Linked DNA regions of Oryzias latipes. The main gene of each other region encodes a partner of the protein of the gene in region 2 in a complex. Links are inferred from orthologs where the notes say so. Each region holds a gene or a part of one and is shown on either strand. Other genes may lie near its edges. The genes, in order: sarnp, thoc2 and thoc7.

Region 1 (4,265 bases), on a different chromosome or scaffold from region 2:
CTAAACATTAACGTGCAGCAGCAGCTTTGTGTTTCTGTGTCATTAGAACAATCGCTCACACATTCTTGCTGAAACAATGGAAGGAATGCAACCATAATGAGGATTATGGAAGCACTTGTGACTCCCTAAATTCATCCGGCTTTGTCCTTCATGCCCACAACTTGAAAGTCAGTCTATTGGAACTTTTTTTGTCTGTGTATCGTATGCCGAGCTGCAGCTTGGGTTAAACCTCTTTTTGAACAATGTCAGCATTCACAGCAAATCCAGTTTGAACACGTTTCATCTGTTTTGTGTTCACCCTGACCCCGCCTCGTGTCTCAGTCCATCCACGCCTGAGACCCGCTGGTGTTGGGTTCTTTCAGCCGGTGGCGTGTGTCAGCTGACCCTCTTTAAGAGCCAAGGTCAATGCTGTCAGTTTTTGTTCAGTATTGTTGTACTGTGATTGAATTTTTTTTTCTCTCACCACGAGAACTGCAACATAAATATAAAAAGGAACAAAATCTGTTTTACCTCTGTTGTGTGTAGTACTAAAACAGAAAAACTGCTTAAACTAGAATTTTATTTTTATTTTTTTTTGGTTAAACTCTCATTAATTGTTCAAACATTTCATACAAGCACCTGCATTCCTCTGTAAACCTCTCAGACTTGTAGATGGTTTTGATTCCTCAGTCCAGCCTGAATTTATTTTTTACAAACATGGCCTGGTCAGGTGAGTTAATAGTTTTGAAACCAATGTGTTAAACAATGAAGGTGACATTTTAGGCCTATCTGACATTTTAGATCTGTGAAGATCCACACCTGATGATTCATGGAAAATTAGGAAAAATAGTCTTTATTTATTTGCCACATGGATGTAGCAAATAATTTTTTCATCAGACAGTAATATAATTGTGTTTTATAGATGTGGTTGAAAAAAATACATGTTTTAGAAAGTTCCAGCATGATGTCAACTGATTTAAATGTAGCTGTTACTCAAATACATGAATGTGGATCCACTGCATAAACTGCTTCCATTATTCCTCCAGGTAAAGAAAATAAAAGAAGAAAATTAACTTCTAAAAAACATCCACAATCTATATGGCAAAGATAAGATAAAATGAACTGAGAACAAAGAAAACAGTGAGGAATGTCTACGAAAAAAGTATAAATAAGGATAAAAAATGTTAGTAAACACTTTTTATCTGAGGCTAAATTGAATAAGTATTATAAAATCGCATTTTAATCATGATTTTATATAATAAAAAGTTTGTTAAGGTCTTAACACGTCTTTTACATTTATTTTTACAAAATTTTGCGGCGATTTATTAATTTTTATTTTGAACAAAATCTCTACAAGTTTGTTTAAAATGCAGCAGGACCATCTGCACGGCGTTAATATGCCCGACAGGAGGCGCTGTGATCAATGACGTCGTTGTGATCAATGACGTCGTTGTTCAGGAGCACAGAGGAAGAAAAGCTCGACTCTGATTGGACGGCAGGAATACATCAACAGAGAAAGATGGCTGAAGTGGTGGAGCTCCAAAAGCTGAAGGTTGGTAGAATTAAAAATACGTTTTTCCTGACATTGGGTGAATTTCTTTGTGGTGGAAATGATGAAGTCAGTATTTACACCGGAACCAGCTAGCGGGGTGGCGGCGGGCTGCAGAAAATCGTGTTCTCCGGGTCTTAAGTCTACGAACCGGCATGTGTTCTGAGCTAATCCGGGCTAAAAGAACGACGAAGGAAACGCGGAGGGAAATGAACGGATAATCTGAGAAACTATCTTTCAACCCACCAGTAATAAAGTTCGACGTAAAACAATGAAAACAATCAGTTACAGCAAAAATCGAGAGGTGGGTAAATGGACCGAACCACAACCGCTGTTTGGAAAGACAAAATAAAAATGAGAGATTTTTTTTACTTAACTTAACTCAATCCTGCATTTCTGCTTTTCAAAGCAAATGTGATGAACGACCATTTTGAAAATAAGTAATCGTAACATACATATATATATATATATATATATATATATATATATGTATATATATAAAAGGAAAAATAAAATTCTAACAATGCACAAATTATTGTTATCAATTTAAACTGATTTAGTTCAACAGATGATGAAATCAGTTTATGTAGGTGCTTTCAGATCGTGGTAAATTTATCTTTAATAAAAAAGAACCGTCCTTTCGTTTACAGAGTTTTATGGAATAGTAAGAAGGTTACTGATGTGGAGATGGAAAAATATATATATATTTTTTTATAGTTTCAATTACACCAATATTTCCAAGCAGGTGTTGGCTGATCTATGTTTTACTTTTTTTGAATCACGTCAGTAAATTTTAAAACCAATTGTTAATTTGAGGTTTCATCTTCCCTTTCAGCTTGCTGAGCTGAGGCAAGAGTGTGACGCCCGCGGTCTGGAAACCAAGGGAAACAAGGGCGAGCTGATCGCTCGGCTCCAAGCCTACCTGGAGGAGCACGGTGAGAACCGGGTGACCCGTTTTTGCACATCAACCAAATGTTGTTTCCTGCCAGCTCATATTGTCTGTGTTGTCATCCAAACCACAGAGGACGATGTGGATGTTGATGAAGTTCTGGCAGAGGACACACCGGTAATGTCTTTTATTCTATCCGTTCTCTTCTAGTTTAGCAATAAAACAGAAACGTTCAATCAATGTTTGTTGAGAAAATCAATATTGATTTGTCAAATACACAAATCTATTCATTTTATTGATTACATTTCTTCAGGCAGACACAGCTCACACACAGTTTTTAGTTGAATAAACTCCAAATTTTATCATGAAATATTGTTCAGGTTTGTTTCTTCTGCTTGTTTGTTTCACAAAAGCAGTATGTCTGTTTTTTTTTCTTTTCTTTTTAGGAATTCACTAAAGTTGAGAGCTCCAACAGCATAAAGGAGGACAACCACACTGAAACAATCGCAATTCCAGAGTAAGTTAACTGTACAACAAATGTGCTTTTTCCTCTTTACCTTTCAGATTCCTCTTTGCGTGTGAATAAAGTTATCGTTTATCATTAACTATTATTGTAAGATAGTAACTTTTCAGGGAATTACAGTCGATGTTGCTCAGATGAGAACATCAAAAAAGAGTTCAGCTGGATCTGCTGGACTGTCATGTTCTTAGTTTTTTTTTTAATTTTTGAGAAAATAAATTCTACCTTCAGGTCTGAAGACAAGAAAGTGGTGAAAATCTCTCCTCCGTTGTCTGCTGGTGAAGTAAGTATGAGTCGTTTTCATTCACAAATAAACCTTGGTTTAGATTTTAGATCACGTCTGAGCTCTGAAATCTAATTTTAGAAGAGAAAAGCTTCAGAAAAACACTAGTTGACCTCAGACTTCACCTTTGTGCTCGTGTTTGCTCCTTTGGTTTGGTGTTTTTAGATTAAGTTTTGCTGAAATCTCACTTTGGGTAGATGCTAAAGCCAAACTGTTTAATACAAAAACATCTATTTTTCTGAAAAATAAAGCAAATCTTTCCTAAAAAGTGGAAAAACGAATCTGTAACTTAAATTTAACCAAATAAGAGCACAACCTAGTTATTTAAACTTAAATATTTTGCTTTTTTAAAGGACTCCATCCATTCATATTATTCATCATACTTGATGAATAATATGCTCTTACTCTGATAAGGACTGGATTATGGTGACTTTGCAAAAAAATAAATAACAATAGTGGTAGGATAACATCAGTGGCGGACCGTGCATTACACACCTGGGCCTTCAGTAGTGCAACGTCTGAATCACTCAACGCCTCATTAACCATATTATGATGCAGAAACTAGCTTTGCATTGCAGATTGAAAATTCCTGCAGCCACAATCAGTGCCTCTAAATACAGAAAACAGTAAACAAATCTTGTTATGCAACTACAGCCAGCACAAAACATTACCGCTACCATAACCACATCAATTAGGAATTTATTTATGATATTTAGATGTTCACTCATCAGAAGATGAGATTATTTGATGACAAAATCCACCCTCCTCTCTTTCCTCAAACAGTTCCATCATCCTGTCATGTAGATTATTGCTCTTCAGTTCCGTCAAGAAGTCATTTTCTGCTCGATCAAGGCCAGTGCTGAGAGCCCAGTCTGTCCATTTGTGTTGCTGCGTAGGTTTGAATTCACTTTAGATCCGAAAATGTCCGCTGGTCAGACGCAGTGAACACGGGGATGGTTGGTGCCAAACGCACAAATCTGTATGGCTGTTCATGCTCTCACTTAGATTTTTATTGGTTACTGTCTTTACTGTCAGGTGTTTTGGA
Region 2 (3,650 bases):
TTGACTCTGTTCTTGCTCCTCAGTACCAAAGTGACAGCAGACCTGAGGTCAAAGACAAGATGGTGAGAGCAGCAGTTGCATTCCTTTCATGGTCTTTCCAAGCGTCTACACCTGTTCGACTTGTTGTGACCTTAATGTTACGTATAATAATTGCAGGAAATACTGTTGAGTTGTTTCCTGAGCATTGCAGACCAGGTGCTGCTACCCTCCCTCTCTTTGATGGAGTGTAATGCTTGTATGTCAGAGGAACTCTGGGGTCTCTTCAAACTCTTTCCCTATCATCACAGGTGAACAAACACTCACACAGGACATTAACACACAGATGTTGCTCTCTGCATGATGTGACACGTAATTAAGTTATCATACTTGAGCTGATAATGATTATTTGATGGCTAGGTCACTTCTTGCAGACTAAACTGACATGTTGATTAAAACCTGCTTTATCAGTCTGTGACTGTTTTAAGGTGGAATCACTATTATTCTATAACTGCTGTTGGTTGTCCCTGTTACCAGCTTGTTATTTTAAAAAGCTCTGGAGCTGAAACCTCTGCTCTTTTCTGGTCTTCCAAAGGTACCGGTTGTACGGGCAGTGGAAGAATGAGACGTATTCAAGCCATCCGCTGCTGGTAAAGGTCAAAGCTCAGACTGTGGAAAGAGCAAAGTATATCATGAAGTAAGTCACTTGTTCCTAGATCCCTGAAGTGTTTCTGGAAATCTACACATTTGTTTTTTTTTAGTTATTTACATAAAATCACATTCCATATACTATTTCAGTCTAGTACTCAACTATTTCAACATGCTGTGTAAATGCATCGTGGAGCTTCGTTAATCATGGGAGTCATGTTCTAAAAATAACCTGCAGGCAAAAAAGCTGTGAAGTAGTCATCTTTATTTTTACTTTTATTTTAGATATTTTGAGGCTGTAAAGCCCCATATAACAAACTTTATACATGTTTTTCAACCAGACTTTTATATTTACACACTTTTGTTTAAAATTGTCAAGTTCAAACCTTTATAGAAAAATACACCCAGCACACCAAAGTCCCATTGCAGGCGATCAAAGATGAATGTAAGTTTGGCTAACCGAAACAGGAATAACCGGTACTTTGGTTGTTTTTACAAAAATTATTAGAGCTCAAAACACAGCTGAAAAAAGTTATGAAATATACCTTGAAAAACTCTTGAAATTGTCAAATCATTACAAGGGTGTCCAGTTTAACTGAAGTAAACTTGTTATTATGACTTTTTTCTTCCTTTTTTGGTTGAACTGTTTCATATTGAACCTTTTAACCTTTTTTCTTTTGTACTTGGTCTGTATGAACTTTGCAGACACACGATTGTTTTAGAAAAGTATTCTGATGCTTTTTGTTCTAATATGATAATGTGATCATCTCCCATCTGCTGTGAAGCCGGCAGAAGTGACAACTTTGCTGCCAGCGCCGCTCCTTTAGCTCTTAGTTTAGTTCTTAGTCTTAAAATCTGTTCTTTCTTTCTCCTCTGAAGGCGTTTGACCAAAGAGAATGTGAAACAGTCTGGAAGGCAGATTGGCAAACTGAGCCACAGCAATCCCACCATCCTCTTTGATTATGTAAGTCCCCATTATTTTATGTTAAAAGGTGAGACGGACTATCTGGGATTCTTTCTGGCAGTACAGCAACCTTGATTGGTTCAGATGTGTCTTGCATTAGTGATATACTGTCAAACATCAGTGAAGTAAACAGATAAATTGGTTGAGATGATTTGACCCATTTGTTGTAGATATGACAACTGTAAAGCTTTTACCATAAATAATCTCAAAACAGTCAGGAAAAATAAATGCTTATCGCATTTACTCCAGTTTACACAGCTGATAAAAATCAACTCTTATTTTGTGAATGCTGTAATATCAGTTGTTGCCTTAATACATTTAACTGCAAATGCAGTTTATTTTGCTGCAGCGTCTCAAATATTAGACTCAGCCGCCCTTGAGGTTAGCTTTCATCATATGAATTTTAGGTTGGCATAGTTTTGATAATTTTTGTCTTAAAAAGAAAGATGTTTAGAAAGTAATTTAGACGGTGATTGAGAACTTTCTCCCTCCTGGACTTCCCAAAGGTTTTCAGGAGAATGAAAGTGTTTTTTGTCTTTGCTGGTCTTTATGGGAGAAGGAAGCCGTTCCCTAAACCGCCTTCCTTTGGTCAGGTAGTTGTCTGTCCTGGTGTTTTTTGAGTCTAAAATCATGCTTAACCAGAACAGTCTGACCAAAAAGACTTGGCTGTAGATCTTAGTTCTAATGTTGCTTTAAAATTTGTTTTACTTGGAGTTTCAACACCAAAAGTATCACTTTTTGGTGAAGAAACCCTTCACACTTTTTCGGTTGTTGTTTTGCTAATAGACATGTCAGAAAGCCCTAACCTGAAGAAGTTTTGAGTTTTTCTCCTCTGTTTTGCCAGATGTTGTCTCAAATCCAGTGGTACGACAACCTCATTGTTCCTGTGGTGGATTCCTTGAAATTTCTCACGTCCCTCAACTATGATGTCCTGGCCTGTATCCTACATCACATGTTTTGAACTCAGAAGCTCTCAAAGGATGTGTTGCATTAGGCAGAGCTCTAAATATGGAGAGGTTCCACCTGTCTGTGTTGCTCCACTTAACGTTGTCTTCAGATTGCATCATTGAGGCTTTGGCCAATCCAGAGAAGGAGAAGATGAAGCATGACGACACTACCATCTCCTCGTGGCTCCAGAGTAAGCGGCGGTTACATCATCCATTTACACGCTGAAAGAGGTGAACTGCTTTAATGAAGGTGTGACCCTTTGTGAACCCAGGTCTGGCGAGTCTGTGTGGAGCCGTGTTCAGAAAATACCCCATTGAGTTGGCGGGCCTCCTGCAGTATGTCACCAACCAGCTGAAAGCAGGGAAAAGGTGAGGAGCTGAGATTAGTGAAACCAACATCTGCTGGCTGCTTTAGACATTTCAGCAATAAGTTAAACCCAAAGAATTCATCAGCATTGGTACATGCATAATGTAACTACACTGCAGCACATGTGAAGAAGGAGATTTACTTCATAAATAAGAAAAAGAAATGCGTAGAGAGCAGAAGATGAAGGTTTAATGCAGTTTAATGTGAAAAATAAATGAACTGAGATAAGAGGATATTAATTTTAATATCAAACATCAAGTTTTATAGCAGGCTGTGATTTTTTTATCATAAAGTTTGATAAAAAAGTTGCAGCCATCAGTTGGGTTTCTTGTGGGTAAAGGTAGCTTCCTGTGCTTTTATGTTAATCTGCCTCGGCTTTTAACCATCAAAGTGAGCTTTCCCAATGGAACGCCAGGAATGATGTCCTGCCTAATGTGGGACTTTAACCTCCGATTTAGCTTTTCTGTCCTTTTGACAGGAAGTTTTAGCATTACAGGAGTTACAAGCTGCTTTTTACTGGTTTATACAGGAGCTGCTTGACATTTTTCAAGTGAACAAAAGTCGTCATAGAGATTTTATGGTAAAATGAAAGACATTTGGGATTTGATTATGCTTCACAGAGGAATCAGAAGTGACATTTTAATGCAATGGCTGTCAAAGCAACACAAAGATGAGATTAATTCTCAGGGACAAGCTGTTGAACTGCAGGTCATGTCCCACATTAAATAATCTAAAGTGTCGAGATACT
Region 3 (4,023 bases), on a different chromosome or scaffold from region 2:
GTGGGTCAACTTTGAAGTTCTTGGCAAAGCTCAACATCTGCAAAGGATTGCCTTCAGATAAAACTGAAAAGTTATAAAGTGACTTTCACAATCATTTGATGTAAGCTTTTTAGAAGATTTCTGGTGAGATTTTAAAAGAGGTTGAAGCAATCAAAATTTTAATTATTTTAAACTGTGGACACTAGCCATGAGGGTGTTCTAAGTGCTGAATCTGCACATAATGACTGTATCCAAATCCTTTTTGAGATTGTTAAAAAAGGTGCTTTGCTTGTATTTTCAAAACCATAACACACTCCCACTTAAAATGTTTGGTTAAATCTAGGCATGAATATGTTAACCTCTGATTTCTAATTGGCAAACTGCTGAAAGTTTGTACTGTTTTCCTGTAAATCTAATATACGCGTGAACCTTTGTTAAATAACAAAACTCTATTTGCCCACACGGCTGGTGTTCTGGTGAGAAATAGAGCACATTAAGTTTCAAACAAGTTTCATTGTAATTTTCTAAGGTGTAGGAACAAACATGAAATCAGACCTGAATTGATCTGTCAGAAAAAAAACGAGGAAGTGGTGACCAAGAAAATATGTTGGCCAAATGAAAACCTGTTTAAATCTATAGTTGAAGCAGGTATTGTACCTATAACCGTACCAGTAACATTACTATTTATGAATTATTATAAATGGTGAAATTAAAGCTAGATAGAAATCTTTGTCCTCAATAGCCACTTAGTAGCTAAAGGTTCTTATAGAACAGAGGTCTGCAACCTGAGGCTCCGGAGTTACATGCAGCTCCTTTATGATTCCATTGTGGCTCTTTGGTTTTGAAAAAAAAACGCTAACGATTTGAGTTACTAATAATGTTTTGGGGTTGTTTTTTTTTTTTTTTAATTTATTTATTAAACTTTCTTTTATTTGGATTCTGCTCCAATGTTGTCATGTTAATATATGACTATAAAAGTAGAAAAGAACGAATATGCAGCAAAGTCTGACTGATAGAAAAGTCTATGTTTGACCTGACTTTCTTACATGTTTTATTCAAGTGAGTCTGTTGGAGGATTTAATTTGACATGAGGTTTATTTCGTTTGAAAGGAACCTATATATGCTGCTGTCAAAAGTAAAGGAAGTTAATATTTTAATAGAAAGAAAATGATAAAACTTTCATAATTCAATTATTTTAATATCTAAATGCTACATGGTAAAAATGAATGGTTTAATGGTAAAACAAAATATGTAATGTGCCATTCTCGATTGATAATTCAGCTTGCAATTTAAGCATTCAATCTAAAAAATGCATTTTAGAATTTAAAATTCAATGTGTAATGCTACAATGTAAGCTGACATTTTTAAAAGCAAAATGTTAAATAAAACAAAATCAATTGTATTCTAAACTGTCATTGGTTTTTAGTCCAATAATATTCTGCAATATAATAAAAGTTCAATTTTGCTGTTGAGTCTAAAAAGCACAAAAATGTGGGAAAAAAATTGCCACATTGAATGTCCACCAATAGGGGGCAGTAGAAAATGAAACCGCTGATTTTAACCTGGAAAAAGAATCTTGCTCTACCGGAAATAGTATTGCTCATTGCAAACATGGGGGCCGTAACAGATGGTAATTTGGTGGTTACTTCGTTTAATATAAAGTTTTATTAAAAATAAATAAAGTGTTTATGTGTTAAGTTATTGTATACAATAGCTTATTTCTAGAATGTAGCAGTGTTTACGCAATCAGTTGGGAGAACTGTGCAGCTAATTTATTGCCCTGCAGTGCTAGCTCAGATTAGCAGGTTGCAATCTAGCCTATAGTTTATCTTGTCTCTTTCGTTTCTGTTAAAGATGAAGTCATTCGGAAACGTCTTCTTATTGATGGCGACGGAGCCGGAGATGACCGCCGGATCAACCTGCTGCTTAAAAGCTTCACTAAATGGTGCAACTCGCCCGGGACTCCGGAGGAAGGGTCAGTGCTGAATGAATCTGAGTCTGAGCTGACGCATCAGAAGATTTACTTTCCAGATTTTAATGTGATTTAGCATTTACGAACAACTCTTCTTGCGAAAGAAAAGTCACATTAGTTAGTTCTTACGTTGTGTGTACAGGCAATTCCAAGCTAGTTTATCAAACTCCATAGAAGGTTAACGGGTCTCAGTTGCATGCAGTTATACTTACCCAAGGAGAAGAGTAACTGTCTTCTCTACAATCTATGGCAAGCAGAGTGTGACACACAGCACAATGTTTCAACTCTGACCATGCATTTCAAAAGGCTGTTTCTATACATTTCCATGATGTGTTTTTATATACCCGAAGAGTAGAATGGTGTCTTCCTTGTTAAATATGCAACAAAAAATCTCACTTTAATTCCTTGTGGTCTTGTGTTTGCGTGTAGATTCACACAGTACCAGCGGATGTTGGGCACTCTGGCTCAGTGTGAGTTTTCCATGGGAAAGACGTTGATGGTTTATGACATGAATCTTAGAGAAATGGAAAACTATGAGAAGATCTATTCAAATATAGGTGAGGTTTTATTGCTCTCGTCTGGAAGCATTTCTGTTTACAATATTAGATTTCATCTATATACCCCCCCCCCCACCCTCCCCCCATTGCAGAACAAAACATCACATCTGCACATGAGAAGATTGCAGAATGCAAAAAAGATATTCAGAGGGCAAAGAGGATACGAAAAAATCGCCAAGGCAAGGATATTTTGATATGGATTGCATATTTTATTTATTGTCCTTTTTCAATAACATCCTTGGAGTATTATAAATATGTTTGTATTTTTTCCAGAATATGATGCATTAGCCAAGGTAATCCAGCAGCATCCAGATAGGCATGAAACACTCAAGTAAGTGGCTCCGTTAATTCAGATTTTCGATTGCTTGTAAACAGCGTACAACAGTTTTGCTTCATTTTTATTTATTTATTTTCTTTCAGGCAGCTAGAGGCGCTTGACAAAGAGCTCCAACAACTGTCCCACATCAAAGAGAATGTGGATGCAAAGGTATATCCAAACAGAATTTATGCAGCTTCTGTGTATTTCGCTGATGATTTGATTTATTTTAAAGTTGTTGTTTTTTTCTATCAAATTTACTGTTCCACCATAGTTGGAGTTGAGGAAGAAGCAGTTCCACGTTCTTCTTACCACCATTCAGGAGCTACAACAGACACTTGAGAGTGAGCACTTTATTCTTAATGCCAACTGATTTTAAAATTGTTTCAAAAAGTTAAACTCAAAATTTGTCTTCTTTTAGATGATGAGAAGTCAGATATTGAAGATGCCAGTCAAGAGAGCCCTGCAGGGAACAGTGAATAACAGTGGAACAGAATGAAATGTTCTTAAATGAGTTTGGGTTTGTGAGACAGAATGCTTTTCGTATGTATTTTTGAATAAAATTCTCTTGATTCTGTCGCTCTGTCTGGTTTTCCCTTTTATTGTTTCAAATAAAAATAAAAAAATCAAAGTTCACAGACTGATAATAATTTCCCTCTATATATATGCCCAAATAAAACAATGAACATAAAAACATGCTCCACACTCGAGGTGATTATAACAATATATAAAAGGAAAACATCTGTGTGCCCATATAATGACTTTTGCTGCTGTAAGATAATCATTCCTGTTAGAAACAGCAGATTCTACTGGACTACCCAAACACAACAACTGAACATTTACACTAACATGTAATTTGGAGATGCAGAAAACAGATCCTTCAAAGTTTTTAGAACTCTACTAGGTATGCACGGGCCTGCAAAAGGCGCTTAAGGCGATTCTGCAAAGTAGCCCTCTTACTGCCGATGTCAAAGTCCTCCTTCAGCAGGAAATCCAAGTTCTCCTTGTCCTGAATCATCTGCAGCATCTCTCTCTGGAGCTGGCTGGCTGATTGTTGCAGCATTTCATAACGGATCACCAGGGGGATTTGATCAGCTAGACGCATGCCAGCAATCTGCAGGATAATGTGGAATAAAAGATAGAAGCCATAGCAGCTATGCATACATTTAGCTAAAATCAACGAAAATTCAGATTAAACT

The links.
Region 1: thoc2 (region 2) and sarnp share a complex: the UniProt entries of both Homo sapiens proteins name them as parts of the transcription/export (TREX) complex. The link is inferred for Oryzias latipes from reciprocal best matches to the Homo sapiens genes THOC2 and SARNP.
Region 3: thoc2 (region 2) and thoc7 share a complex: the UniProt entries of both Homo sapiens proteins name them as parts of the transcription/export (TREX) complex. The link is inferred for Oryzias latipes from reciprocal best matches to the Homo sapiens genes THOC2 and THOC7.

What each region holds. Positions count from the first base shown.
Region 1 is NC_019865.2:25,904,763-25,909,027, forward strand, and holds the start of sarnp (SAP domain-containing ribonucleoprotein), read left to right. Parts: upstream 1-1,404; 5' UTR 1,405-1,420; coding exon 1,421-1,531; intron 1,532-2,363; coding exon 2,364-2,463; intron 2,464-2,550; coding exon 2,551-2,594; intron 2,595-2,863; coding exon 2,864-2,934; intron 2,935-3,168; coding exon 3,169-3,220; intron 3,221-4,265. UniProt on the Homo sapiens protein: Binds both single-stranded and double-stranded DNA with higher affinity for the single-stranded form. Specifically binds to scaffold/matrix attachment region DNA. Also binds single-stranded RNA. Enhances RNA unwinding activity of DDX39A.
Region 2 is NC_019872.2:16,163,364-16,167,013, reverse strand, and holds part of thoc2 (THO complex subunit 2), read left to right. Parts: intron 1-23; coding exon 24-62; intron 63-156; coding exon 157-287; intron 288-571; coding exon 572-673; intron 674-1,503; coding exon 1,504-1,588; intron 1,589-2,432; coding exon 2,433-2,526; intron 2,527-2,645; coding exon 2,646-2,726; intron 2,727-2,807; coding exon 2,808-2,904; intron 2,905-3,650. UniProt on the Homo sapiens protein: Component of the THO subcomplex of the TREX complex which is thought to couple mRNA transcription, processing and nuclear export, and which specifically associates with spliced mRNA and not with unspliced pre-mRNA.
Region 3 is NC_019863.2:16,703,062-16,707,084, forward strand, and holds thoc7 (THO complex subunit 7 homolog), read left to right. Parts: upstream 1-1,501; 5' UTR 1,502-1,521; coding exon 1,522-1,609; intron 1,610-1,833; coding exon 1,834-1,954; intron 1,955-2,380; coding exon 2,381-2,508; intron 2,509-2,600; coding exon 2,601-2,687; intron 2,688-2,781; coding exon 2,782-2,839; intron 2,840-2,928; coding exon 2,929-2,995; intron 2,996-3,098; coding exon 3,099-3,168; exon of another isoform or gene 3,169-3,245; coding exon 3,246-3,307; 3' UTR 3,308-3,403; downstream 3,404-4,023. Other genes in the region: interferon-induced GTP-binding protein Mx, read right to left, coding at 3,714-3,938. UniProt on the Homo sapiens protein: Component of the THO subcomplex of the TREX complex which is thought to couple mRNA transcription, processing and nuclear export, and which specifically associates with spliced mRNA and not with unspliced pre-mRNA.